4 linked regions of the Coturnix japonica genome follow. The protein of the gene in region 4 purifies or fractionates together with the protein of the main gene of each other region. This does not show direct contact. Links are inferred from orthologs where the notes say so. Each region holds a gene or a part of one and is shown on either strand. Other genes may lie near its edges.

Region 1 (7,514 bases), on a different chromosome or scaffold from region 4:
TATGGACACTGACTCTGCCTCTAGCTCTGGGTCAGAGAGAAACCTCATTATAATGGCTTCAGGGAGCACAGGTGGTGAAAGTGATGGCATTCGAAATGGCATCGGACATGGTTCTCAAAATAAGTTTGTGGTTGGTAGCAACAGCAATAATGTGGGCAATGGAAGTATTAATGGGCCATGGGGTTTATCCCATGGGACCATAATAAGCACATGTCAAGTTTCTGTGGATGCTCCTGACAGCAAATCTGAAAGTAGCAACAATAGAATGAATGCTTGGGGCACCATAAACTCTTCATCAAATGGAGGGTTAAATCCAAGCACTTTGAATTCAAATGGCAACCATGGTGCCTGGCCTGTATTGGAGAACAATGGACATGCCCTGAAAGGGTCTGTAGGGAGTGGTAATTCTGGCACAAATATTCAGTGCAGTACCATAGGTCAGATATCTAACAGTCAGAGTATTAGCTCTAAAGTGGGTGGTTCAGCCCATGGTTCCTGGGGAAGCCTTCAGGAAAATTGTGATTCTGAAGTAAATGGTACAAGGAAGGTTTCATTCAGTGGGCAACCTCAAAACCTTAACACTGAAATGAATGGACCAAATAACACTACTAACTTTATGACCTCTAGTTTACCAAACTCTGCTGGTTCAGCGCAGATTAACGAACTGCCTAATAATACAGGGCACGGGGCCTGGCGTGTGAGCACAATGAATCATTCTCAGATTCAGGCCTCTCCAGTTACAAATGGCACTTCCATTTCTCACCTTAGCAATGGTGAGGCGAAAAATGGTGGATCTTATGGTACTACATGGGGTGCCTATGGTTCTAATTACTCTGGAGACAAATGTTCAGGCCCAAACAGCCAAGCTAATGGTGACACTGTGAATGCAACTCTAATGCAGTCAGGCATTAGTGGGCCTGGCAGCACTAACTTTCAAATCAACGGGAATAAAGGAGGAGGGGTGTGGGAAGCAGGGGCAGTCAGCTCCCAGAATATGCCATGGGGAAGTGGAAATGGCGCAAGTGCTGGCGGAAGTAGAAGAGGATGGGGCAACCCTGCACAAAACACTGGCACTAATATTTCAAATGGTGAATGGAGTAAACTGCCTAGTAATCAGCATTCCAATGAAAGTGTAAATGGAAATACCAGGAAGTTTACAAATGGATGGAAATCTACTGAAGAGGATGAGCTTAACAGCCAGAGTTCTGCTGTGTCTCAGATAACTGAGCAGAATAGCGCGTGGGCCAAAACAGGTACAGGGGACGGTGAAGGTAGTACAGAGAGCACTGGATGCCATGAAGATAGAGTAGCTACAGAAGGACAGAATCGAGAGAGAAGAAAAGTTGACCAGCATGCATTACTCCAAAGCATAGTAAATAGAACTGACTTAGATCCACGTGTCCTTTCCAATTCTGGCTGGGGACAGACTCCGATCAAACAGAACACTGCCTGGGATACCGAAACATCACCAAGAGGTGAAAGAAAAACTGACAATGGGACAGAGGCCTGGGGAGGCTCTGTGACACAGACTTCTAGCTCAGGGGGATGTGTGGATAGACCTAGCCCTAATAATAATGATACCTCATCTGTATCAGGGTGGGGAGATCCAAAGTCTGCTACAAGGTGGGGAGACTCCAAAGGGTCAAATAGCCAAGGGGGGTGGGAAGAGGATTCTGCTGCTACAGTAATGGTCAAGAGCAATCAATCATGGGGAAGTGGCAAAGAAGACAAGTCATCTTGGAATGACACACAGAAGATGAAACAGGGATGGGTAGAAGGACAAAAGGCCAGCCAGGGTTGGGCTGTTTCTGCCAGCGACAGCTGGGGTGAAAATTCAAGAAGTAACCATTGGGGTGAGACAAAGAAATCCAGTTCAGGAGGTAGCGACAGTGACAGATCAGTATCTGGTTGGAACGAGCCAGGTAAATCAAATTCTGTTACTTGGGGAGGTAGTAATAATACAAACCCAAATAATTCTTCAGGATGGGATGAGCCTGCAAAGTCTAATCAGAACCAGAGCTGGGGAGACCCTCCTAAATCCAGTCAGCCTCAAGGTTGGGGGGATTCATCAAAGCCAATCAACTCTCCAGAATGGAACAAACAAGATGTTGGATCTTGGGGAGCACCGTCTGCCGCCAATAAACCGCCAGGCTCAGGCTGGCTGGGGGGACCGATTCCAGCCCCAGCGAAGGAGGAGGAACCCACTGGCTGGGAGGAGCCATCCCCTGAATCAATACGCCGCAAAATGGAAATTGATGATGGAACTTCTGCTTGGGGTGATCCAAGCAAATACAACTACAAAAATGTGAATATGTGGAATAAAAATGTCCCAAACAGTAGCAGCAGTTCAGACCAGCAAGCACAGGTACATCAGCAGCTACTGTCTTCAAGTGCCATGTCTAGCAAGGAGAGCAGTTCGGGTTCTGGTAAGACTTGACTTTACACAAGCTTGTGCTTTTGTTTAGTTGTAAAACGTTTCTCTTCTACTTGTTTCATGTAACATATTTTAGATTCAATGTGGAGAGGCGGAGGTGGCAACAGAAGTACCTTTTTATTATCAGTATTATAATTAAAGGAGAATGCAGGTAGATGCTTTGATATTTTTATACAAATTGGAAGATCTGTTCTCATTTTAAATAGTTTCAGTAACGTAGACTAGACAGCTCTGTTGAAATCCTGGGGTGTGGGAACAAAGGGTGAGTGCTAAATGCATATAAATATATAGATAGATATATCTAGGGAATAGTGTTTTTCTTCATTTGATTCTAAAAGCTACAACTTAATGTTGCCAAATAATCAAAAAAACAAAACAAAAAAAAAACAAAGAAAACACCCAAATACCAAACCGAGTTGGGCTGCTACCAGGCAGAGTGAAACATGATTATTTTATATGCACCAAAGATCAGAATTTGCAGGCTTGTAGTTTTGGGAGCAGTAAATAGTTGTGGATGTGTCTTTGCAGTACATGCAAAGTGCTTTGTGCTGTCTTTTTGCAGCTGCAAAGAGGAGTAGCTTAAACACAAGGAGCAGCCCTTAGGAACTTAGTATTTTAGAGATGTCTGTTCTCAGTGTAATTCTTTATATATGAAATTTGTATTTTTGCTTCTTTTTAATGGAACAGTTTACAGTTTTAATAATGACCTTCATGCAAAATGCAAATGTTTACTAATAAGCTCTTTACTGTATGCTATGGCTTTGAAAAGGCAAAGCACTTGATTCTTTAAAGTGGCTTTTAAAATCCTGTTTTAAAAAAAACATGTCAGTAACTCATACTGCTTTAAAAAGGTTGGGGAGAGCCTTCTACTCCAGCCACTACTGTAGATAATGGAACTTCAGCGTGGGGTAAGCCCATGGATACTGGTACTAGCTGGGGAGAACCCATCAGCGATGCAGGAGGCACCTCTGGCTGGGGAAACGCTTCTCTTGGTCAACAGGCTCCAAATAAACCCGGTGAGTGCTTTTGCACTGTCTTTGAGTAACAATACTGAAGGTGAAATGCTTATCTTTTTTGGAGGCTTTAATTTGAAATAAGCTCATTTCTGTCTGTGTTAAGGGCAGCCAATGCAAACTGATGGTTTTTTTTGTACTGGAGTAGCTACTCATTGGTGTGTGTTTTCCTTTACTACCATGCCATTACTGATCTGACACTGGGCATGATTAAAGAAACTACTTCAGGTTTTAGTAGCTGATTTGAGTGGAGATTTTTGTGGTTTTAAGTGTTGACGTGTTGGGGTTTTGTTTTGGTTTGTTTTTACAACCAGGGCCTAAATCTATGCAAGATAGTTGGTGTGGAGACGATATGCCATTGACAGGCAGTCGTCAGACCAGCTGGGAGGAAGAAGAGGATGTAGAGATTGGAATGTGGAACAGCAGTTCTTCACAAGAAGCTAACACGTCTTTGAACTGGCCACCCTATATGAAGAAAATGCCCACAAAGGTAATTGTGACTTGTGAGATGTCAAGTCCACACACAGGTGCAAGTTGGCAATGGAAAGAAAGAAAAACTTATGAGGCTCCTGAGAATTATTTCTTCTCACTGTGTAAAATGGTTTCCTCAGGAGGTTGTGTCAGGGTTTTTGCACTGTTGTCATTCCTGAAAACTAAGAACGGGTTGCTGTGCTGAATGGAGTACCATAGAGCTTTCATCTTCATAATGTTTTACGGTTTAATTTAAGCAGTGGGTGGTAAATATCTTCTGAGTATCATGGGAATTCCTTTCTGTTTTTCAGGGAATAATGAAAGGTGGAAATAAGCAAGATGAAGCATGGATCAATCCATTCATTAAGCAATTCACAAATCTCAGTTTTTCAGTAAGTATTACACCTTTCCTGTCAGCATTGCCTTTTTAGAGTGTTAGTTGTAATGCACAAAGATGAAAATACTTGATTGTCTGAAGCCCATTTTCATCGTATTTTCCTTTTTACTTCTATTTATCTCCTCTGTCGCTCATCCCTTTTTTTCTTTGTACATTCTCAGTATAAAAAGACTTACTTACGAAGAAAGGCATTGTTGTAAACACTACCAGTTATTCATCCAGTAGTCTGCTGCTCTAGTTAGTTACGTGTGGATGTTGGTAAATACACCTGTTTTCAGTGGGGATATCAAAGGGACAAAATGCTTTAAGATAGAGCCCAATTATCTTGATGTTTTTTTTCCTGCAGGTCTGAATTGTTATAATATATATGAATCTCTTTGTTTTAGCTTCTAAAAAGATTATTATTAAATAATTGATTCATTTTATTACTTCAGAGAGAATCACCAGAAGAAACCATACAGAGCAATAAGATGGACTTGTCTGGAGGTAAGAAGAAAACATAATTAGATTTTACAGCTTTCCAATCTGTTAGCTTAAATATATCAGTTTGCATAAGTATATATTGTGATTTCTTTTATTTATTTGTGTATTTGCATGTATATATAATATTTCCTTAAATAATACTCTTGTAGAGCAGGAAAAAAAAAGACTTGTGCATATAACACTGCGTACCTGATTGCTGCAGTATTGTTAATCCAGAAGTCAAACTAATCTTATACATACAGAGCTGGCATGAAAGTGTGCTTATGTGGTGTGGGGTTTTGGTTTTTTGTTTTCTTAATACAAGTATCCAGACTGCTTTGTGGACAGCTTCCCTAAATAGGCACAGATGTTCTGAATACCACACTTGCTTCTTGTGGTTAATTCTTAGAAACACATTTTCAGTTCGAAGAAGTAAATTAATACCGAACAGTTACTTCAGATACATTTATACTTGAATGCAAAAATCACTTTTGAGCAGCCTTTGAGCTCATTTGCCATTGTGATTCCTCTAGCAAATGAAAAATAGGATAATTAAATTTAATCAATGGCCAGCAGTATATGATAGTAGGACATGTGATGAAAAATAATTGTGGCACTGTGTTTATTGTAGCTGCACTTCTTAATTTTAGTTGCAAATTGCTTTTTTCACTTTTGGCTCATGATCTGTATTGCATGAGTTCTTTGCATTTCAGATATTAAAAAAAATAATAGAAAGCCTCATGCTTAAATGATCTCAGTTCTTGAATTTGAATTCGAAATATCTGCTTGGAAACAATTCTCTTGCAGTGCATGCAGTGGAGTATTAATGGAGTATTATGCAATGAAGTACGCTGCTTTACTACTGCTTGTATTTTGATCTCCAAGCTTGCTTAGTAGCATTAACAATGAAAGTGAGATGTTACAATGAGCTTTCAGTAAATACCAGTATTTAAAATGTTCCCATCTGTTTGGTTGTCATTCCCTCCACAATAACTGAATCAAATTAAAGACCCTCTGAAATCTTATGCAGATGAAGGGCATGTAATAAAGATACTGCTTCAGATCCAAGACAGCACTTGTTGTGACTCTTCAAAGAAAAAACAAAAAGCTGACATTAATGTCTGTCTTAAACAATTATACTTGCCTTGTTTTTGCAGGCTGAGAATATTTTTGGGGAAGTGTGCAAACTGTTGATGCTTTTCTGATTCCCAATTTGAAGCTGTCTGTAGCCACTATTCATAGTGTTTCCTTTCCTTTGAAGCGAAACCCAGGAAGTTTAAAATGGAACTGATGTTTTCTTTTTCTAGTGCCAAGCCTGAAAGCTGTATTCTGTATTTCATGAGCATAAATCCATTCTGACTGTATCTGGAAAACGATGTGATCCTTCAATGTCGTAGTCACATCTCTCTCACTTTCTCTTAGGGTTATTGCAAGATAAGAGAATGGAGATTGATAAGCATGGCCTCGGTGTTGGAGATTACAATCGTGTGGTTGGAAAAGGCCCTGGTTCTCGTCCTCAGATTTCCAAAGAGTCTTCCATGGATCGCAGTCCTTATTTTGATAAGGTTAGTAGCTGTCTTATTGGTGGACATTCAGAACTTCTTTGATTCAGCATTCTAAGTAATTGTCTGTGCACTCCTTAGCTTTCTGCATTTGGTGGAGAAGAAACTTAGTGCTTTCTTGTTAATCCATAAGATATGTTTTGTTCTTTTTAACTTACTGATATATAATACTAAGCACTTTCTGTAGCCCATTTGCAGTGCAAATAACTAACCTGATCTCTTTTGTTTTCTGCCTATTTCCTGCTGATGCTGGACTCTCATGTGACTCTTCCCTTCTGTTCCTGGCAATGGTTTCTCCCTACTGCTTGCTTGCTGGCTGGTTGTTGCGCATCGGTTTGTCCGTCCAATCAGGATGGCATTGTAGCAGACGAGTCCCAAAACATGCAGTTTATGTCCAATCAAAACATGAAGCTTCCCCCTTCAAATAGTGCACTACCTAACCAAGCCCTTGGCTCCCTGGCAGGGCTGGGTATGCAAAACTTGAATTCTGTTAGACAGGTAAGGCTGTGTGCATATACTTGGCATGTTACTTGACAGTATTTAATACCTTTTAATTTAACATCCTAGCTACTAATGTGATTAATATGTTTTCTGGTTATAATGTAAATGTGTAGGGGTGGGAGAAGTAGCAGAAGAGGTTTATTGTCACTAACCATCCATCTTTTTTCCCCAGAATGGCAATCCCAGTGTGTTTGGTGTTGGTAATATAGCAGCACAGCCCAGGAGCATGCAGCAGCCTCCAGCACAACCTCTTAATTCATCTCAGCCTAATCCACGTGCTCAAGTGCCTCCTCCATTACTATCCCCTCAGGTAACTAAGTACTTGGAACATTCTACGTATAAGCTAACAAAATGCTGCTTCAGAAGAATTTTCTATTTACTGGTGTGGCTGATGTCTATTCTGTAAATGTTTGGAAACTTACTCGTCCTGATTGGTGTATCAGAAAATGGGCAACTGTTAACCTGAGATTGTAATATCCCATGGTTAGTATAACTACTTGTGCATACTTCATACATCAGTGTCACTGATTGTGCTGGTCCGTTCTGCAGGTTCCGGTATCATTACTGAAGTATGCACCAAACAACGGTGGCCTGAGCCCACTTTTTGGCCCACAACAGGTAGCCATGTTGAATCAACTGTCCCAGTTAAACCAGCTTTCTCAGATCTCCCAGTT
Region 2 (7,514 bases), on a different chromosome or scaffold from region 4:
AGAAACGTTTTCTGATGTGCGGTGTGCGAATCCAGCTGACTGCAGTGCTCAATAGCAGGGATCTCCTCCCTCCCCATTACAATACAAAAACAAAACCCAGTCACCCGCTGCTTACTGGTGGCACTGGTCAAAGCCATATGATTTTCTGCTAGCCAGCATGCCTGCAGTTTGAATTTGTATTGAGTTTTGGTTGGGGTTTTTTGCATATTTTATTGTAGCGGTGGTTTTTAATGAACTCAAAGTGCTGTTAATCTCAGCGTTATGTTGATGTTCTTTCCTGATTGGGCTGTATTTCCCAATAGACACGCAGTGAAGATTTCCATGCACAAAGTGTCGGTGCTAACAGCAGTTGGACATGGCGGTGCAGCAGCGGTGCTGACATGAGATGTGCATCTCATCTTCTATTGCTCTGCTCGGAATGGCAGCTCCCAGGAAGGCTGGTTGTGCTCCTGTTAGGCTGAGCGCTTTGCTTTGCTTCAGAGCTTTGCAGGACTAAAGAGAAATGGTTTTCCCATCCTGGTCTTAACAGCTTATAAAAGAAAGCCATGACATTCTTTGTGGAGACGTGGTTTCCTAGAGAGTCAGAGGGGATTTTTGTGTTCAAAGGAAACCCTGAACAAACAACAAGAAAATTACCCCAAGATTTTACTGTATAAAAATATTTTCCTTTCATTATTTCTCCTCTTGGTGTCAAATCCGTGTGGGTTAAGTGCAGGTTTGCTGCTCTTTGGGTTATTTGCTTTGTAGGAATGAAGTGCTTTTAGGTTAGAGAAAGTGGAAAAATGGCCTTTGGATGCTTGCTTCTGCAGACTGTGTATCAAAAGATCCTTTTTGGGGTTTGCTGTGTGTTGGGAGGGCTTTATCTTTGGTTTTGCAGCAAAGTAACAGCTCTCACAACCTGGAGGGGCTGGATTTAGATTTGACCGCTTTGTTTTTTGAGCACGTTCCTTGTGAGAGCTGCAAGTGTGAATCCCTGCTGAGTCCAGAGCAGGGAAGGAGCAGAGCAGCACAGGTATGTTGCTGCTAGTGGGAGCACTGTATGTTGTGCACTGGAATTAGCACAGTCCTTATCAAGGGAGCCTCTTTCAGATTAGTCAGTGCTTGTTGTTGTTGTTGAGGCCGTAATCTGAATCTTGGCAACCGTGCTGTTGGAAAGGGAGCAAATACTGATTTTCAAGCCCTCTGAAAGTGGGAGGTTTCTGAGCTGCTGCTTGGAGCCAAACACAGGGCTGTGTGATGCTGCCTGAGCAGTGTGCTCAGCCCAGCTACAGTACCTGATCATTCAAGGATGGTCAGCTCTTGCTCTGTATAATTCTTCATCTTTCTGCTGTGGTTTGTCTGATTCTTTGGCTGTTCTTCCAAATCCCACTGTCTCATGCAATGAACCATTTTGCTCCCTACTGAGGAATCTTTGCAAGTTGTTTCCCTGTTCTTCATGCCATCCGTGTGCACAGTGAGCCCCGTGCAGGCTGCTGTGCCTGCCCTGCACAGCGCTGCTCTGCTCCTCTGCTCACAGGTGGAGCTTCAGGTTCAGCTTTTGTGAGACCTTTGTATTGAAACTGTATTTCAAGCTGCTTTTAAATCTTCCTGACATGTCAGGAATGTACTGCTGAAGCTCACCACCCACTGTGCTGAAAAAAAAAATCACACACACGACTCCTCTTATCTGATTCCTTGGTTACCTCAACTTCTTATCTGCTGGCCTTGGCTGCTGCAGCTTTTTTCCTTTGTTTGTTTCTGCTCTGCTCCAAATGCTGCTTGGCTCGTATTTCTGACCCCGTCAACCCAGTTTGGGTCATTTTGCAGGCTTCCTTTCACTTTCCCTGCCTTATCTGGGATTTGGGCTCTGTTTAACACCTTCGTAGATTATCAGGTAAATTTTCAGCTCTGTAAGCGTTCGGTTTCGTGCAGGTATAACGTGATGTTTTCCTCCTTGCTGGCCATTGCATGTAGGGATGATAATCCGGGTTGGTCTAACCAGCTGCTTCTTATTCTCTTGTGAGTTTGTCCTGTAAATGTGCATTATTTGGGTCTTTCTGTGAAACACCAGGCTTGTCCTGGCATTGTGAGCAGACAGGCAATGAGCTGAGACTGTGTTCCCATCCTTTCTCCAGTTGATTTTGGGATGAGATGCAGTCTAACCTGAGGTTATTGTGTTCATTCTGTATCCCCATAACCTGCATGAGGCAACTTAATCACAGCTCTTGCCTGCAAAGCCACAGGTGAAACGTGTGAATAATGAGATTTTCTTCACGAGAGCTTTTTCTATTCTTGGAAGAATTTTTTCACAGTGTTGGAGTACCTTTAATTGGAGGCAGTTGGAGGAGCTAATCACACCAAAATATTTGTGATTCAAATCAATGTATATTAGTCATCCGCTGTTAAACAGCTTATTTGGGAGGTTTGTTGTGTACATCTTACCCTCAGAACAGTCTTGCACTTCTTATTCAAATTTGATGTAGACTAATTGGTGGTAAAAATCCAAGTCATGTTAGTGCAGATTTACGACAATAATTGGCATCCGAAACATGTAACGTATAGCTGCAGTTTTCTCCTCTTTTTAGATCAGCAGCTGAATTAAGGGTTGTGCAGGTGGCCTCCACCATGTATCCCTGGGTTTGGACTGAATTACTTACCATAAGATTCAGATTCCCATTAAAAGAAACAAAAAGGAGAAATCTCTACCAAAGATCTCTTATTGGAGCGATTGGAATGGAAAGTAAAAGCAAAAACTCAACCGGAGTCCTTAGTGTGAAAATGGTTGTGTCTTTCAGTATAATTTTGCCCCATAGCAATTAGAGGTTCAAGAGCTTCTTTAGAAACTGCTTGATCAGTGTCTTTGTTTGAGGGTAGGTGTGTAGTATATGTTCTGTGTCCTGAAGACCGCCTTCTGGATATCTGTGCAATATAGCATTACTTTCACTGGGTAGAGGGTGGACTTTGGACATACTTTGGATGATGTGTGCAGCTAAAAAGCACATTGAAATCCCTTATAAATCCTTTAAGAGCTAATTTTCTTGAACAGACTGTTACTCTGAAACGCCTGTGTGTTCTCTGCTATAACCTAAAGGTTACAGCAGCACTGTTTGAACGCATAATTGATGCTGTACAGCAAAAGATGGGTGTCAGCATGTGAATGGAGCGTGTGGATGGTGGTGTGGCTGCAATGTGTGTAACGGCAGGAGGACGTTGCATGTTTTATCACTGGGTGCTCTTTGAGAACTGAGTCAAATAATTCATTTTTTTAACACATGTGCTTTTTGGATTTCTCATGGAGGTTGGTGTATTTGCTAACATCTACTTATGGAGTGCATTATTGTTTTAATAAGCCTTGCCACTGCACGTAAAACGTTTTTGTGCCTTTGTTCTAGAATGGAATTATTCCATTTGAATTGAGAGTTTTGTCAGATTAAAGAAACAAAACAGCAACAGCACAAAAGATCGGGTTTGGTAGTTTGTTGTACTGAAGAAAATTGCTGTATCGTGTTGGAAAACATGCTTTGAATTTTAGGATGCTTTGCACTTCAGTGCAGAGCACAGCGTTACAGCTAGCAGGGTAAAGCAGTACTTACTTAACTGTGGTTTTGTGGTGCTTGAACCGTGCACTCATTTTCAACCTTTTTGGATCCTTTCAGATCTCAGTCACAGTGGATTGGGAGACCATTATGAAAATTCCCACTGGGGACAGCAGCCCACTTTCAGGAGTGAAGGCAACTGCAGCTGGGATAAAGTGATAATAGACAGGACTGACAAGGAAGCGTGGCCTTCCATCACAGGAGCTGAGACTGAATCTGCCTCAGAATGTACTACAGACACTGACTCTGCCTCCAACTGTGGCTCAGAGAACAGTAGCATGGCTACAGGGAGTGCCCAAGGCAACTTCACTGGACATACAAAGAAAACTAATGGCAATAATGGCGCCAACGGAGCACTCGTCCAAAGCACTTCTAACCAGAGTGCCCTTGGATCTGGTGGAGCCAACGGTAACGGCAACTCGGCCAGAGTGTGGGGCATGGCTGCAGGCTCTGGCTCTGGCCTAGCTCACTGCTCTGCCAGCGGTGGGGATGGCAAGATGGACAACATGATTGGAGACGGTAGAAGTCAAAACTGCTGGGGTGCTTCCAACTCAAATGCTGGCATTAATCTTAACCTTAACCCTAATGCCAATCCAGCTGCCTGGCCTGTACTTGGACATGAGGGAACTGTGGGAGCAGGCAACCCTTCCAGTATTTGCAGTCCGGTCAGTGCCATAGGTCAGAACATGGGCAACCAGAATGGGAACCCGACAGGCACCTTAGGTGCTTGGGGAAACTTGCTGCCGCAAGAGAGCACAGAACCACAAACGTCCACTTCTCAGAATGTGTCTTTCAGCGTACAACCTCAGAACCTTAACACTGATGGACCAAATAACACTAACCCCATGAACTCTTCACCAAACCCTATCAATGCAATGCAGACAAATGGACTGCCGAACTGGGGGATGGCTGTTGGTATGGGGGCCATCATCCCGCCCCACCTGCAAGGCCTTCCTGGTGCTAATGGAACATCAGTTTCTCAAGTCAGTGGGGGCAGTGGTGAAGGAATGGGCAGTTCGGTTTGGGGGATGTCCCCAGGTAATCCTGCCACAGGAAACAGCAATTCTGGGTTCAGTCAGGGGAATGGAGACACTGTGAACTCAGCATTAAGTGCTAAACAAAATGGATCCAGCAGTGCTGTGCAAAAGGAAGGCAACGGAGCGAGTGCGTGGGATTCGGGGCCTCCGTCTGGTCCTGGGGTACTGGCGTGGGGCAGGGGAGGTGGCAACAGCGGTGTTGGTAGTATGCATTCTGGAGCTTGGGGCCACCCCAACCGTAACACCAGTAACGGTGTCAACGGTGAATGGGTCAAACCCCCAAACCAGCATTCCAATAGCGACATCAATGGGAAAGGATCAGCGGGGTGGGATAGCTCCAGTGTTACCAGTCCGAATCCTGCCATGCAGCAGGGCAACGAACAAATAAACTCTTGGGCCAAAGCTGCAGCATCTGGCACCACAGCTAGCGAAGGAAGCAATGACAGCGGTGGCAGTCAGAATGAAGGCAGTACGGGGAGGGAGGGGGCTGCAGAAGGCAGGAGGAGAGACAAAGGGATGATAGACCAAGGGCAAGTTCAGTTGCCAAGAAATGACCTTGACCCCAGGGTCCTGTCCAATACAGGGTGGGGACAGACCCCTGTAAAGCAAAACACTGCCTGGGAATTTGAAGAGTCCCCGAGGTCTGAACGAAAGAATGACAATGGAACGGAGGCCTGGGGTTGTGCAGCTACTCAATCTTCAAACTCAGGGGGGAAGAACGATGGGTCCATCATGAACAGTACAAATACCTCTTCAGTATCTGGGTGGGTCAGCTCTCCACCTGCAGCTGTTCCAACAAATACAGGTTGGGGAGACAATAACAACAAAGCACCAAATGGCCCAGGGGGGTGGGGAGAGTCAGCAAGCTCTACTACTGTTAATAATGCTGCTGCTGCCAAAAGCGGCCACACTTGGAGTGGGACCGCAAATCAGGAGGACAAATCACCTACCTGGGGTGAACCTCAGAAACCCAAATCTCAAAACTGGGGAGACGGACAGAAATCAAATCCAAGCTGGACTTCAGGAGGTGGAGATTGGACAGATTCATCATCTGTTCCCGGACACTTGGGTGATGGGAAGAAGAATGGATCTGGATGGGATTCTGACAATAGGTCGGGGTCTGGATGGAATGATTCCACGAGGTCTGGGACCAGTGGATGGGGAAACGGCACAAACAGCAAGGCTAATACAGGTACAAGTTGGGGGGAATCTTTAAAGCCAGGCCCCCAACAAAACTGGGCTAATAAACCCCAGGACAACAGTGTGAGTAACTGGGGAGGAGCTGCTTCTGTAAAACAGACGGGGTCGGGGTGGGTTGGTGGGCCAGTGCCAGCCAAACAAAAAGAGAACTGTGAGGCAACTGGCTGGGAAGAGCCATCTCCACCGTCCATTCGCCGCAAGATGGAGATTGATGATGGTACCTCAGCTTGGGGCGACCCAAATTACAACAACAACAAGACTGTAAATATGTGGGATAGAAATAATCCTATCATTCAGAGCAGTACCACAACCAATACCACCACCACGAGCACCATTATCAACACAAACATGGTTGAACCTCAGCCATCGCACCAGTCAAGTGCCCAGCCGAACCGGTCCCCGCTGCTTGGTCCAGGTATGACAGTACTTTTGTAAGCTCCATTGTACCAATGCCGGTAGTACTTGGCATGTTGGTCCATATAAAGGTCTTTCACCATTAGTTAGCACCTTCTGCCCTCGCAGAGCTGGATGTCTTTTTGCTAACCTCTCTTCTGTTATTTGTCTGCTGTTACTATTACTCAGTCTTTATTCCTGTTTAGACACTGAGCGTCTGTTTCTTCTCTACAAACCCTATCTCTTGGCAGCAGATGTTTTCTTGGCTGTTGCATGAATCCAGACTAGTGCTGTTTCTTCTGTTTGCTGTCGTTTGTGAAGAAATGGTTCTCTTCCATCCTTCGGGTCTCAAGCATGGATTGTATCCTGGGCTTTTATGAGGGTCTCATAAAGTTGGATTGGTTAAAGATGTTAATATTCAGGGTGGCTGAAAAAAGCCATTCCACTTCAGTTCTGTTCCAGATACGAGGCTTTAAGCATTATTTGGCTGGGAAGAGCATGAGGTTTTTTTCTAATGATAGAGAAGATGCTGTTGTAGATGAACAGCAAGGAATATCAACGGGAGGTGGGGGAGGTACAGAGAAAAAGATTGTTTAGAGGAGAGGTATTTAAATAGATGTCACTGGAAGCCCTGCTCTGTGTCTCAACCACAGACATCTCAAATCCAATCTTGCTGTGCTCTTTAACATTTCTCATCCGATTTTGTGTCCAAGTTTTTGTTTTGTCTTGGCCATGCCTAAATATTGGCTTTCTTAACTGTGCTTTTCTCCAAGCAGGATTTGTTCTCCTCCTCCCTATTGCCATCAGTTGTGGTTTTTTTTTCTTTCCCTTTGATGTTGTGAAATAATTCAAACTTAATGTAATGTCTGTACAAAAATAGCTTCATGTTCCTTACTCTGCTGAAATATTTTAACAGTTGAGGATGTATTTGTCAAAAAACAAACGTGCTCCAGAAAGAGGAATCTTCTAAGAGCTTTGTACGTGGCCACATTCCAGTTATCATTTATCTTATTTTATCCGTATTGAACCATGAAACTGAGAGCTGACGTGTCTGGATTATAGCGAAGGCAACCTTAGCTTGGGTTGGTTGGTTCTCCCCACACAAGTTGATTTTTGGATGATTCCATGTGTTTCTAATGCAGTTGGTGTGCAGCGCTGCCTCCCCGGAGGTGGTAGCAAAGGAAGGGTTTCTTGGAAGCAGTGTGTTGGTGCAGTCAGAAATGCGTATTATTTTGAAGCCACCCGTTTCAGCAAATGGTTCAGGGAATGATGAATCCCCCATTCTGTTCCTGTCTCAGTAGGGAAGCCT
Region 3 (7,514 bases), on a different chromosome or scaffold from region 4:
CCAATTTCCTCTTCTAGCTTACCCAAGATATGAAATATCTCCCCTTAGTCCACTGAATAATGCAGTTTTCTCTTTTGCTCTGTCTAGGTGCCAATTAGAAAGGACTTGACATAGCATTCACAGTACACAGGAGAATGAAGGTCCCGGTTCTTACCTCTGGTGACATACTTTTAACAGCCAGCACAGGGAAAATTCCCTGTATTTTGCTCTTGCTGAGCTGGAAATAGTTTACACAAAGCACAACACATATGCTTTAGCTCTTTGGTTATGTCACCATGTGCAGACCAGCTAGGATAAGCAAGTGATTGTGTTCTTTAAAGACTATCTTAAATATTAAAAAGTCCACAGATTTTTAAAATGGATCATTAGCACCTCAGTGTCTCTTATTTTGGACACACTTACATGGCTTTTTACAAAGGAAGGAAGATGAGCCATCTAGAAAAAAGTCCAGCATCCTGAAAAGTGCCAAGTCTGTCTGTCAGGTACAAGGAGCACCACAGCCACCCAATAAACGTTTCAATATATGTTACTGGAATTTTCCAGTTTTGTTTCATGAATGGCCTAATTGTTTAATTCAAGTGTGGGAAAGAGAACATGGGAGAACAGCAAAGAATCCCTATGGTGCATTTCATCCCAGACAATCAGATGCTGTAAGAGTAGCTTGTAACTGGAAAGTCTTACCACCGGTATAACCACCAAGGTTCAGAAACAGTGAGTATTTTCAGTATTTCCTAATGGAAACTTAATAACCAAAAGTCACTGTCTTTGGCTATAACACTGCTATGCTGTAACAGCAGGAGATTGCTTTGTTTGTTCCACTTTCCTTACGAACAGTGAAATAAAAATTCTACCCATTTACATCAGGAATAACTTCCACACAAAGCAAACTCAATACAGCAGGATTCTAACTTCAAAGTGATTTTTTTTTTTTAAAGGTTCAACAGGATCTCATTCATGGAGAAGAGTAGCTATATGCAGGCAATAACTAGAAAGTATTCAGCCATTTAGGTTAGGCCACAAGGGGAAGGTCAATTTATGAGTTTTTCACATTCATGCAGCAAAAAAAGTGCATTCAAAGGCACTTCACACACATCTATTGTGAAATGTTTCTATAAGCTCTGAATTCCCTCTCCTGATGTGATCAGAAAAGGTGATTTACCATGTAATGAGCTTGTACCTTAAGTAATGGGTGTGCAGAGAGAAGATGATGTGAGAAAAAGAATTATTTCCTTGAGCAGATGTTCTATTGCTTCAACACTTGCACAAACTGAAACTGCCCTTTCAAGCAGTTAGGTAAAGAACATTTCCATTACCTTAAAGGTAAGTATCCAGTCATTGGTAAGCACTTAATCACTCATCAACCAAAATCTTACATTACATTCAGCATTGCTTCTAGGCCTCAGATAACAAATCCTCCATGGGTGACCTATATCAAAAAGCCAAACACTAGAAGTCTCCAGGACCACTGCAAATAAACTAGTATCTGTCCTATACTCACTAGATTTCATGGCATTCGGGGCGTTGGAAGGTGCATTCCCCCAGCCTGTTGTCGATGCTCCTGTATCATCTACTTCACCCCACCCGGGACTGGTTTCATTTGGCTCACCCCAGGCGGACGTACCATTATCTGGAGCAGGTGGAGTGCTTTTGCTCCAGACTGCACAAAGGAGAAAGAGTTTTCATTACAGACCATTTAGACAACAAACTATTTACTGCTGTGCAGCACCATGTCATTTATCTACTGCATTACTGCTGAAGACTCTGAGCTCTCAATACTGTGGGTGAAACAGAATAAAAAATTGTTCACATAACAGTTCACGGTGGGCTCTGACCTTCAGGTAGGAAAAGAAAGAACACAGTAATGAATAATATTCTTCTCTCAGGTTAAATATGAACCTAACCCTATTTTATCTTCTGGTGAACTTCTTTTAACTGAAAGCACCAGATCATTTGGGTTTTCATACACTGAAGAACAACTAAGAGCATAACAGTATACCTTATTTATTTCCAGGCCACGCAGGGTTGATTTCTTGATTATTTTTTTAATCATTATTTCAAAGAAGAAAATACCTTGCTAAATATTCTTCACCACACAGGAGAACCAAATTGAGCTAAGAAACTAAAGCACATGCTCATTCAATGTCAGCTGCTATTAACTATGTTTCGAAGGAAACTGTTTTTGACTTGAAACAAAGAGATTTTTTCCCTGTTTCTTTCGTAATTAAACACAAATTCTCTAAGAATTCAACCCTTCTCAGATAAGTTTTTTTTTGTTTTTTTTTTTTTAAACTGGCAAGCTGCCCAATGTTCAGATCAAAGTTACTAAGACACAATAAGCAGAAGACTGTTTGATTCAAATTAACGACACTTAAACTCAGGACCAAAACATTCAAGAAATGTTTTTTCATTATGAAATAATGCTATTAGTTGTAGGCTACAAGTGTATCTCTTATGCGTAAGGGTTACGATCGTATAAAGAAATCTGCTGAAGAAAGAAATGAGTACCTGATGCTTGGGATTTGCTAGTCATTGGAGTAGGCAGGCTCTGTTCCCGTGAGGCCTGTCCTCCTTGTGAGTTCTTGTCCCACAGGTTCACATTCTTGTAGTTATAACTACTAGGATCTCCCCATGCTGAAGTGCCATCATCAATATCCATTTTTCGACTGATTGACTGTGGAGAAGGTTCTTCCCAGCCACTAGGCTCCTCGTCTTTGGGGGCAGCTGGTTGTGGTCCGCTGTTCCAGTTTGGGTTTGAAGGTCGCCCATTACTTGGAGTTTGTGGAGGTGGACCCCAGGAACCAGAAGTCTCCTGCTGTTGCTGCTGTTGCTGCTGCTGCTGCTGCTGCTTGTTCCAGGAGTTGGGCTGTCGACCCGTCTCGTTCCACGTTGAATTTCTTTTACAATCATCCCAACCACCCTTTGAAGCAGAGCCTGTATTTGCACCGTTACCCCAAGTTCCAATCTCATTTTGCCCACCTTCACCCCAACCAGATGCTGGCTTATTTCCCGCACTTTCCCAGTTGCTGTTTTTTGCTTGGTCAACTTCCTCTCCCCAACCGTTCTTTCCAGAAGACCATCCTTGATTAGGCTGCCGTCCACCCCACCCCTGATCCTTACTAGAACTGTCATTCCAAGATGATGATGATTTCTCTTCTTGTCTTCCCCCTCCCCAATTAGATGAATTGGGGTTCTTATAGTCACTCCATCCTCCAGTATTTTTGGGGTCCTTCCACTCTGTTGGGGTTGAGAGCTCACCCCATCCAGACTTGATTTGATTGCTTTGGCTGGGTACATCGCCCCAGCCCCCTGAGTTCTTTGTCTGTGTGGCAGAGCTCTCCCACCCCTCAGTTCCTTTATCAGACTTCCCCTCGGGCCGTGGCATCTCTTCAATATCCCATACGGTATCTTGCTTAATTTGAGTTTGGCCCCAGCCAGTGTTTGAAAGCACTCGGGGGTCCAAATCAGTCCTGCTCAGCAAAGTCTGCAAGACTGCCTGGCAATCAGGATGTGTAGGCCTGTATGATCGGCGTCCAGAATTGTGACTGTCACTACTTCCTGCTTTGTGGTTGCTTCCAGTGCTTTGACCTCCAACCTCACTTCCTGCGGAGCTGGAAGATCTTCCCCAACAGGGAGCCTGGGAATTGCCTTGGTTTTCAGGAAGAGGGTGGCCTTTTTGATTGTCCCATGCTCCAGTGCTAGAATTTGGTTGGTTTGGACCACTCCATTCTCCAATCTTCAGTTCATCAGACCCAGACAGCTGTTTCCATTCTCCCTGAGAGACCCCAGATGTCAATTTGTTCCCTTCACCCCATTTGCTTTCATTTGCATGCTGAGGGCCAAAGTTCCAAGACCCACCACCCGTAGACCGGTTATTGTTATCCCAAGAATCGTTTCTTGACCCATTAGGTTTTTGAACAGAAGCTCCTTTCCAGGAGTCCTCCCTATCCTTTCCATTGTTCCCATGGTTTCCAGAATTGCTCTGTCCAGAGACTGTGTCAGTTCCAGAAGACCCCCTAGCTGTACCCCAAGATCCAACACTCCCAGTCTTTCTTTCTCCAGTGCTTTGTGAAGGGGTGTCAGTGCTCCTGGAAGGGTTCCCCAAGCCCATTTCAAAGGGCATTCCCTTATTCTCCATAGGGTTTGGTGAACTTAAGTTCAAGGAGTTAGTGTTTCCATTTTTTGGTCCATCAGTGTTATGAATTTGAGCCTGTTCTCTGCCAGAGACAAAGTTAACACCCGCATTTTCCATCTTTGACTGCTGTTCCCTAGAGGTCTGACCTACTGTGCTAATCTGTGCACTGGAGCTACCACTATCAGATTCCGAAGTCCCTTTCCTAGAATTGCCTTCTTGGACCAGAGCTGGCCAAGCAGACGGGTTGCTATTTGGGTTAAAGTTGCTGAAGCCAGAACCAGAACCAATTCTATCTTGTCCAGTCAAGTTTCTCCAATTACTTAGTCCATTGTTACTCTCGGCAGCAGGGTTGGAAGATTGAACAGATTTAGCCTTGGGATCAGATTTCCAGGCCCCAAGATTACATTCATTTCCAGCGCTTCCAGACTGGCACTGGCTTCCTTTTCCTTTGTTACTAGTGGTGCTTCCTGGCAGAGTGTTCTTCTCCAAGCCAGGGTTCGAGGCACTGTTGTTATCGGTGGTGTTTTCGGAAGAAGACTCAGCATCTTTGCTGGCAATACAAGGCCACTCTTCCATGTCAGACCCGTCTACAATCACCTTGTCCCAGATGTGAGTTGGGTTGGCGTTGGTGCCGCTGTTGGAGGAGGCTCCAGGACCCCAAGTGGAATTTGCATAATTTGAAGCAGCAGCACCTCCAATTGTTGAATCTAAAAAGAAGAAAAAAAGCATAAAAAAGACCCCAAAAAACCATTAATACTCAATACTGTCTACAAACACTGAACATCACATTTTTGATACCACTTACTATTGATTCTATTAATACATTAATCCTTCTCTCATATACGTGTAATGAAGTTGCTTAGGAAGAACAAGAGACTGGAAAACAATATTAAATATACAGATTAAAAATGTGTTTTAAGAAATTCCCCAGAAGCAATTTGTGGGCATGTGAATCCATGGTTAAGTCTCTCTGTGGCTTACAGTCCAGCTGATTCAAGTTCAACAGTGATTGCAACTCACTAAATGAACCTGCTTGGTCAAACTGGCACTGGTGGTGGACTTTTCAAAAACAGGTAAAATCATACAATGCACAGAGCAAGAATATGTATGTGCACACTTTTACGCATGCATGTTTGCATAGTCGAGTAGGAGACTGACAGCTACATGACAGTGTTCAAGAAGCATCTGGACAATGTTCTCAGAGATATGGTCTGATTTTTGGGTGATCCTCTGTGGAGCCAGGAGTTGGACTCAGTGATCCTTATGGATCACTTCCAACTCAGAATACTCTATGATTCTACAACTGATTCAAAAAAGAGACCAGTATTTCTGACAGGTGAAAAGGTAAAAAATGAAAAACAAAGAAGGAACATAAAGCTGAAGAAGTATATCCTTTGGCTTCAGGTACATCTTTTTTGAAGTGGATTTTGCTGGAAAAGTTTCTTTTCAAAGTAAATCAGTTTGTGGTTTTGTGAAAAACAGAATCAATCTTTCCACCACTAGCCAAAAGCTAACAAGATATCAAACATTTCCTCCTCTCTCTTACCCGATCTACTCCAAATCTGCCAAGTTCCAACAGCCCTTTAACTAAGTCAACTGTATTCACAAACTCAACAGAAAACAGTTAACTTTTTGCTAACACTGCATTGTACAGGGTGACCTCCAAGTCCAATAGCTCTTACAGTCAGTTAAAGAAAATGGCAGGATAAATGATTAAGGAATAGGACTACAATGTCAAGGTATTTGCATACAGTTTTAAAGCACACAAATTAACAGTGTCACAATGAAGTCTATATCAGTGCTAACAGCATGTTTGCACATGTACAGATAGTTCTCACTATCAATTTAAGAAGTCAAGCTCTCCCCCTTCCACGCAAAGTCACCTTCGCTCACCTAAATAATTTCATTTCAATTCTACTTATATCATGTTCTCTCTATATAGTGTCATTTGTATTACAAATATGTAGAAAAGTAAAAGAACTCAAAACTACCCACAAATTCTTTGTAACAAAGACTGAACACTCTCCCTTCTACAAACTCACACTGAACACTAATAAAGTTATAATGACTTATAAAAAAAGGTGATTTTTTAAAGTATACTGTTACATATTCAAGAGTAAAGACCAACATTTCTGATTACTATTAGCTATAATGGAAGCTTTCAAATGTGATGAACTGAAGTCTGCCTTCATCCATTAATCCTGGGCCACCAAAATCCAAAAAAATCATGCAGTTCCCATGCACATTCTGCTCCTTCTGTTATTTCAATGTCAATTACAAACTTCAGAAGAGCAAGGAAGTGCGATTCTAGAGGTATTTATTCCTGGCTATCCTTTTAATACAGTGAGTAACCTCATCCTTCCCTCTTCATTTTTTTTTTTTTTCCAATTAAAAAAATTTCTGATTGGACTGATGGACAGAGAAAGACAAGTTCAAGAAACAGCAAGGTTTTCTGAATGTAGCAAAGACTCAGCAAACAAATGTAAATGCAGAGCTGCCCACGCCAAGATCTTTATGTAGGTGATTCCAACAAGTATTTCACATTTCATTTCTGTGAAGATATCCTGATAGTATTAAGATAGGGATGCTTCCTAACACAGTATACTAGAACACAATTTAATGGACTATTTTAATTAAACAGCCTTCTGCTAATTGGACAGTGGCAACAAATTATCAATCTACAGTTCTGCCCTCATAAGTCTGCATAGGGGTTCTTGGTTCTTAAGCAGACTTGTCCATAATAACAAACGTGCTGAAGATGAACAAGCTTCTGATCTGACTACAATGAATAAAGTTACCAGCTAATGTTCACTTTTAAGGGTGAAAATATGGAACTGAAATAAGTGGAAGTATTGAAATGGAGTCCTGAAACAAAGATTCAGTTTTGCTGCAAGAGACCACCTGGTGATTCCTGGAGGATATTTTGATGACTGAAAGATGTTTGGCTAATAGAATTTAAGCTTTGTTTTCAAAAAATGTCTTGCACATTCTGAACAGGACTTGTAGTAGAAAAATGATATACAACCCTCTACCACACAGCACTGCTACAAGACAGTAGTACACTTGGCAAACAGAAGTCATCTTACATGGGATTAGAGTTTTACCATCTTACACTGCATTCTGGTAGGAAAATTCTGGTAGGAAAACATATATGTGAAGAAGGATTAGGTCTTCACCCTCTGTATTAATAATTGCTCTTGGTGTAGATGTTCAGTTCTGTTTATTTTCCTTCGTTTTGTACAGAAGCTGCACTGCTACAGGGCAGCAAAGTAATATATTTTTTTTTTTTTTTAATGGATCAGTTAGTGGCAATTGAAGGCTTCACCAACACAACCTATAGCTCCTTGGTGAATTTAACAATGAGAAGGATTAGCTAAACTAT
Region 4 (7,514 bases):
CGATGATGTTATTTCGATTATCCTTGCTTGGGAAAAAGAAAACCACATGCCTTCTAAAGAACCCTTAACAACTGAAACATGCTTCCAACATGACTAAAGTGATAAAGATAACAATTATACCTGTATTCCAGCGTGACTGCAGAGGTAAAAATCAAACTCATACGGATGTGTAATGTCTGTATCTACAGTTGTTCCAGCTGGGATATTGCCACTTCGTCCAACCTAAACAAAAGTTACGTTAAAAACACTGCAGCTAACAACACAAATTCCTATTCAATGCACACAGCACTTCAGTGAAGGAACTGTCTTAGCTTTGTTTGCAATGTGACAACACAACAAACTAGGATGTCCAACGTGGACACTGCATGGCTTTTTACCATTGCAGTGCAGAATACTGCATCCAGAACCTGAGAACTCTGGATCTCAGAAAGCCAGAAGAGCTGCACATATGCAGTGCACACGGACACTGTGACAAAGCCTGATGTGTTTTGGTTTTTTCTACTGTATTTAAGGTCATTGATTTTTCAATTTGGTGCCACATCTTGTGCTAATCAATTCAACACATTCCCCAAATGCAAACAGAATCAGACTGGCAGTGAAGTTCATGCTAATATTCTATCTAGCAGTACTGACACCAAGCTTGAGCAGGACAACAGTTACCCTTTCTGTTCTGTCAGCACAGAACAACCGTGTATGATGTCGTTTCTGCACCACAATATAGGTTATTCCAGGCTGGTAATCCTTCTCCAAACTGATGCAGGCTTCTCTAATGGCTAGCAGTTCATAGTACAAAACCTACAAGCACAAGAACAGAAAAAGTTTTCCTCACATTATATTCTACACACAACACCTAATTAACAGTCTGCAGTTAACACTAAGTTCAGCTGTTCTACACTGTTATCAGCTTCAGGAAGTAATGAGAAATAGACTGTTTCCCAAGAGTAAGAGCTGTTCTTCCTAGACAACAAGGAAAGAGCAACTTCTCTTACCTAACACGCTTAACTCTCCTAAAAAGGCTCAATTCTTTTGTGGTATCTTAGCACAAATAGAAGCAGTACAGCTTATTCCAACAGGAGGGCAGGAATTCAGAGCTTCAGACAGTTCACAAATGAACCAACCTGTCGGAACTGTCCTTCAGAGACCCCATCCCTATAGAAGATGATACGCGTGGGCTTGAAGCGTGTTGACTTGTAGAACTGGATGAGAAGCTCCCTCACCATGGCAGCCAAATCTTGGATGATCTCTTGGCGGGGCCGTTGAACTCTCACGGTGGCACAGTATCGACTGGGATGAGCATCCATACTACCTACAACCTTCAGGAGAACATTGCATGACTAAAAGCAACAAGTTCAAGCCTATACAAGACGCTCTAACATCATAAAGCAGCTTTACTTTATATGACGTCTGCAAAAACATTCTATTTAACATAACTGCCTCGATTTAAAAAGCAAAATGCTATGAGAAATTATCAAGCAGTATTTTTCTTTTAAAGACAATTCTTAGCAACACTGGGAATGGATAGCAAGAATTGGCATAAGCCCTGAAAGAGATCTGACAAACACAAGTTGCATTTGCTGTTCTAACATCAACCCAAAATGAAACAACAGTGTTGATGTACTAAAACTTACAGCAGCTATGGAAGGTTTTTTTCCATCTCCAGCAGGAGGGTGAGTGACATCAGCTCCCAGAAAGATCACTGGCTGCTGGAACACAGAAGGTCTTGAAAAGGAAAAAAAAAAGTGCTAAGTCACACTTGCAGATGAACAGTTGGTGCTCAATATGGGGCTTTGTCTCTATTTCAGCTATGTTGCACAGAGAGACTTTCTTATCAGGTACTTCGGCCAGAGCTAAACAATGAGACCTTTGTGTGCAAGAAGTAAACTTCCACAACGCTAACGGTCATTGCGAAACACAGCCACTGAACTGCAGGCATGATTCTAGTGGAGAAAAGCCAAAGAGCTGCACCTTAACAATACAGGCAGTCTCTTACAGAAACCATTACTCTACCATTTGATTCCACTATATGGAATTCTTTCAGGAATCCTCAGGATAGAATTCCTACAACTTGCACTCCAGAAGTTTTTGTCTGGCTTGTGTGATGTGTCTGTCCACTCTTAAAGAACTCATAATAATAATAAAAGCTCCTAATAACTGTTAGGGACCACCAGAACTTCTTGTCTTCAGGACTGATAGACTGATTTGTGCTTCTTCAGAACAAAGCACGTAAGAAAGAGGGAGCACACATGGCTTAGATTCAAACCCCACTGAGGGCTTCTAAGCAACTGGAACACATGCACAGAGGTTCCCCATGCAAAGAATGAGCGTGAGCTGAATTGCTCAGCCTAACAGTGTGAGAGAAGTAGGGGGCTTTCAGTATATTTCTGCCCTTACTGACTGCACATTGGCACAGTAACCAAAGCTTAGACTGTTCTGTGATGCATGGCAGACTCCTAAACCTGCAGAAAACTCCTAATGGTACCAATCTTTCAGCACCTCCAGAACTGCAGCTGTTCAAGCTTTTGATATTGATCAAGCATGGAAAAACACCTGAGACTCAGCTCATAGACCAACAACTATTCAAGGCCCACACAAGAAGAGATGTAATTCCAGCTCATACCACATACTACCAGAAGGATAATTCAACACAAGCTTTGACTACAGTTAAATGTTGGGTGCTAAGTATCAAAGAAAACCCAAATACATCCCCATGCAGATTCTTACCGTTGATGAGGTACAAGGATGTTATTGATTCCTCCTAATTTAACGTTGATCTTCAGGCACAGGTTTGAAAGGGTCTGTGGAGATGTTTTAATGACGTTTTTGACTTGCACACACTGCGTGGCCATTCCCAACAGCGTGTCTCCCACACGCTTCACCTCCGCTGGGAAACAAAAATTAGGATACAAACTGAGCCCATTTGAAACTATTGCCATGTTTTGATCTTAGCTTCCATCACAACAGTTGAATACTCTGTAAAACAACTTTCTATTGAGTTGAACACTCAGACTTGCTTCTGATTTCAGCTTCAGACAGCACTGGCTTCTTATATCTAATGAATGCTCCAGAGCAGTTTTCTAACATGTCATGCATATGTTTGAATGATACTTCACCAAACAGGTAAACTCCAAGGTATTCCCTTACCGTACACTGGTGTTTTTCCTGGCAGGATGACAATGATGAGCTGAAGCCCTGAATAGGTGTTCTTGAGGTGCCGAAACATGGGCTCCACACTGTCTGCACCCTGGGCGTATTTACAGAAGCAGGGCTGGCCTTGGATCGGCATCCCTGCGTCCTTGGAGATCTTACGCAGCTGGTCTGTAAAACCCCTATAGATAAGGAGTTCACTGGATTTTTGCATTGGCAATAGCAAACAACAACCAGAGCAAAAACAGGTAGAAGAACTTTGTTACTCATACAGAGAAAAAGATTCCACATAGCTTTCAAAGTAGTGTTTTTAAAGCACCCGCATGGAGGCCACACAGATTTGAAACCACAGAGGTCAGAATGGAAAACAGCAAATCTGGGGCCTTTCAGTACTCCATTCATGATGCTAGACAAAACTAAACACAGAGCAGCAATATCGCAAGACTCAAACAGTGTTTTGATTGTAGCTTCCAGAAAGGAAGCTGCTTGGATTCTACCCTTAACACCCAAGGTGATTGTTTTGCTAGCTTTAATCATTAAGAATTCTTACATCCATGTTTTCAGTGAATGGTTTCATTACAAAAGCAGTCCAAAGCCTGAACTACGACATGCCTTACTTCAGTATTTCTTCTCTGCATTGTCTCTGCGTTGCAAAACAAGCTATAGCCCACATTTTGATCTCAACACCAGTGTGGAATTGCTTCCCTCTCATGTCCCAAACTCCGTGGCTTGGGGTTGCCACTGTTCTGTTCTGCAGGAAGAAGAAACATAGAAACATCCATGTGAGTGAAAGCAAAGAGGCTTGTGCTGTTTACTGCTTCAGGATAAGAGAAAACAAAGCCTGCCATTTAAACACTGATCCCTGTACTGCACAAGGCAACTGGAGCGCTCACAACACAGGTAGGAAATCATGCTTCAATCATCATAATAGAAGCAAAACCACAAAGGTGAAGACCTCACCCGTCCTCCATACTGCAGCATCGGTGCGGGCAGCACACGCCCTGTTACATGGGCCATCTCATCCCGGACTTTGAATTGGAACTCTTGAACAAATGGATCCGCATCATAATTTGCACTTCTCACCTAGAAGAGGTTTTTTCCACGTTACATTCAAAATTCACATAAAAAATTATAACTCCATAAAGAAAAGTCTAATAGGAACGCAGCAGAAATGTTCTACAATCCCTCTTCTCATTGAAAAAGGCTTAGATTCAGCTGCTTGTTGCTCAAATGCCACGAGATAGACTGGACGAGACTTTTTGTTCCCTTAGTTACTCAAGGTGCTCAATTGTAACGTGCTCATCATTTTGTTTGCTCACTGAATAGATCCAAAAGCATTTTCCTTAGGAAATAAGAGCACCTCAAATTAAGTCCTTTAATTACTGTTCAGAAAATCAATTGCTGAACAGCATCAAGCCAAACTGAAACTGAAGAACTCACCAATCTGCTTATTTCCTCTTGCCTATCTGGAGCAGACCTCGCTGTGGCCTTTATCATAGTTGATGTCTGATTGTCTGTTAGCTTCTTGATACACCGTTGGCCAGCCACAATGTTACATACCTTGAAGAAAAACCAGAAGCATTAATACAGAGCATTCAGAACCAGATCATTATGTATCATACTTGGGGAACTCCACAAACCTCCAAAGTATTTCAGCAATTGCACACTTACACTTAGTTCTAATCTTTCAAGCACTTAAAAAATGTAGTTTTTGGTGAAAAAAAAACAAAGCATATAAAGAACATGTAAATATGCAAACACCTGCACTGCAAAGTGCATTACCTCATGTTCTGCAAAACAATACTGCCTACCAATAATGAGCTGATTTATTAGAGTAAAATCCTTACTTCTAAAGGCAGGTAGGTGTGTTTCTGTTCCTGCCCCACTTGCAGGCAAGGCAGATGAGGATACTTCAGCTGGAGGTTGTATTTCTCTCTGAAGTACTGTGCTACTGTTCTCTCCACAGTCTGGCCATTTTCTAACTGTAAAGGAAAGCTGGAGAGACACAGGCTTTCATCAATCAAAATTATTACAAGCTTAGCTGGCAATTATTAGCACTCCCAGAACGAATACAATTAGATCCCATTAGGTATTCAGTGCTAAGCTACTGCACTTCTTACATCCTGACAAAGAAGCATCTTACGTTTGATGACTTGCAGGCCTCCTGGTTACATTACAAACACGGTATTTCCGTCTCATCGTTCCACAATGAGTCACTTCTACCTTCAGACCTGCACAGAAGTACCAAAAAGCCTGATGTTACAACCATGCAACAACTACCACAGGAGACAAAAAGTTCCATACGAAAGAGTGTGTTCCAACCCAACATTGCTCTCTGTGTACAGTCAATGCCAACACCAGCAGCTCAGCAGGTTCTCAGCAGAAAAGGTGGTTGGAAACAGCACTGCCACACAAATTACTCAACCTACAGCCCACTGGAAGAGGTTATTGAGGAAGCTGGGTGGTGTGTCCTGTCCAGGTTTGTGTGGATTGTGGCCATGCAATGAATATCCCCATCAAGACAGGTCAAGTAGAAAAGGATTGTGAGTGTGCATCTGGAACCCATTAATTGCTCTGTCATCAATCTGCTGTGACACTACAGAAAGAACCATCCTCCCACTGAGCTGCTCACGCAGGCTGCAAATTCTGTTAAGGCAGGCTCTGTTTCACTATACATGATTGTATCTTGGCTGCAGCTCCCAGATAGTACATCAATAATAGCAAATACTGACAGTGAAGGTAACCTCTTCATATTCTCTGACCGTGGTAACAAAGTGATTCAGCTGTCCAAGATTAAGAAGAAACAGCAGCTCATTCTCCAGTTATGGGCCTCCCGGAATGAATAAAGACAGATGTAAAAAGGAGGCATGTTTGGACTACTATGTGTGTCCTAAAAGGTACATTTCCCCTCTCCAGCTAATGACTATTCCATGAATATATTGCTTTGCAAATATAGCTGAGATTTATTTCCCTGCTGGCCAGTATTTCAGCAGAGTCCGAGCTTTCATCAAGTAACACAAGTGTCCCAGAGCAGAGCTCTGAACAGCTGAACTCTTTCAAGGCTCCTCTCTCTGCAAATCACACTGGAATGAAATGATACGGGAAAATGCAAAGCAAAGGAGCATATATGGAGTGAAACTACACTAAACAGTAGCTTATGCAATTCCTTTGGAATGGAATTTGGCCTTCAGCTGCAAGTTATTAAGTGGTACTTGTTTTTCCATACAGCAAACAGTTATTAGAAGTCACTGCAAATAGCATCCTTTCAAAGAATCAATTAAGTTCGCTTCAAAAAAATCAATGTTCATTTTGCCTCAGCATTTAAACAGCGGGAGACCTACAGCACAATACCACTACAACCTCAGTGACCCCTGCTTCTCAAAGGTTACAAGCCAGCAAGGCAAAGCTGCCCACTGCCAACCAGGTGATGAATGCTTCCCTCTTTAAGCCATAGGATCATCTCCCATTTGTGATGTACTGCACTTCTCCTGACAGGTGCAGGTCTCTTCTGATGCACGATAACCAGGGGAGTTTCCAGTTAAACTGAGTCCCTAGAATGACCCTAAGGGAAAGGACAGAGACATTTCTACTCACCCTTTATCTCTTTGGTGAATTTTACCCGATGAGAATCAGTCAGAGGTCTCGGTTGTTCATCAATATTATGAATGTCAAGAACTTCACACATAAACTGAATCACAGGTTGTGCTTTGTAGAAGGCAGTGGCAGAAACTAAATAGAACAAAATACCAAGAAAACCCAAGTCAGAACGCCCTGAAGCAGTAGATAAATTAAGGCTTTTCTCAGATTCCAAGTAACCCTCAAGGAAATGCTGCACAGCACTCAGTTCTTAAAACAGATTAACGAGCCTTCCAACAACCACAGTGACACATCAGTCTCCAGCATCGTCATCTTCCAGCTGCTTTGCATTTCTAGGTTTGGGAAAGGTTTTTCCCCAGATAACAGTAATTTCTAGAGAGCTGTAATGTCCTGAAGAGACTCTGTATTGAGCTACAAGCACAGCCAGCATCCATATCCCTGCTGAAGACTTTCTAATGTGTAAAGCTGAGACTATTCAGGATGCAGTACGATTTTGTCAATGATACCATACACCCAATGACCGAAACAGCATTTTAGCCACATAAATACTATTTTAAATACATACAAATATATTAGCATAGTAATTAGCTCAACCTTTGGTCTACCAGCATCTCTTACTACCCTGCACACCAGTGACCAAGTCACATTAAATGACAATAGTGTCTTTAAACAAAACAGTTGACCTGTCCCATGGAAGTAAGAACAGTCTGCTTAGAAAAGATATAAGCAAGTGACAACTTGTAGTAAGAAATGTGGCACAAACTGCAGCTCAG

The links.
Region 1: the proteins of AGO3 (region 4) and TNRC6A purify together in Homo sapiens (affinity purification with mass spectrometry; 7 studies listed by BioGRID and IntAct, with this or other methods). This does not show direct contact. The link is inferred for Coturnix japonica from reciprocal best matches to the Homo sapiens genes AGO3 and TNRC6A.
Region 2: the proteins of AGO3 (region 4) and TNRC6C purify together in Homo sapiens (affinity purification with mass spectrometry; 3 studies listed by BioGRID and IntAct, with this or other methods). This does not show direct contact. The link is inferred for Coturnix japonica from reciprocal best matches to the Homo sapiens genes AGO3 and TNRC6C.
Region 3: the proteins of AGO3 (region 4) and TNRC6B purify together in Homo sapiens (affinity purification with mass spectrometry; 6 studies listed by BioGRID and IntAct, with this or other methods). This does not show direct contact. The link is inferred for Coturnix japonica from reciprocal best matches to the Homo sapiens genes AGO3 and TNRC6B.

The regions. Positions count from the first base shown.
Region 1 is NC_029529.1:6,769,592-6,777,105, forward strand, and holds part of TNRC6A (trinucleotide repeat-containing gene 6A protein), read left to right. Parts: coding exon 1-2,426; intron 2,427-3,285; coding exon 3,286-3,450; intron 3,451-3,761; coding exon 3,762-3,937; intron 3,938-4,229; coding exon 4,230-4,310; intron 4,311-4,749; coding exon 4,750-4,801; intron 4,802-6,199; coding exon 6,200-6,342; intron 6,343-6,690; coding exon 6,691-6,837; intron 6,838-7,012; coding exon 7,013-7,150; intron 7,151-7,389; coding exon 7,390-7,514.
Region 2 is NC_029533.1:3,486,711-3,494,224, forward strand, and holds part of TNRC6C (trinucleotide repeat-containing gene 6C protein), read left to right. Parts: intron 1-3,635; coding exon 3,636-6,227; intron 6,228-7,514. UniProt on the Homo sapiens protein: Plays a role in RNA-mediated gene silencing by micro-RNAs (miRNAs). Required for miRNA-dependent translational repression of complementary mRNAs by argonaute family proteins.
Region 3 is NC_029516.1:45,734,006-45,741,519, forward strand, and holds part of TNRC6B (trinucleotide repeat-containing gene 6B protein), read right to left. Parts: intron 4,840-7,514; coding exon 2,506-4,839; intron 1,658-2,505; coding exon 1,499-1,657; intron 1-1,498.
Region 4 is NC_029538.1:3,700,008-3,707,521, forward strand, and holds part of AGO3 (protein argonaute-3), read right to left. Parts: intron 6,874-7,514; coding exon 6,739-6,873; intron 5,376-6,738; coding exon 5,288-5,375; intron 5,140-5,287; coding exon 4,992-5,139; intron 4,705-4,991; coding exon 4,585-4,704; intron 4,228-4,584; coding exon 4,105-4,227; intron 3,896-4,104; coding exon 3,762-3,895; intron 3,327-3,761; coding exon 3,142-3,326; intron 2,882-3,141; coding exon 2,722-2,881; intron 1,720-2,721; coding exon 1,629-1,719; intron 1,314-1,628; coding exon 1,119-1,313; intron 796-1,118; coding exon 634-795; intron 223-633; coding exon 121-222; intron 1-120.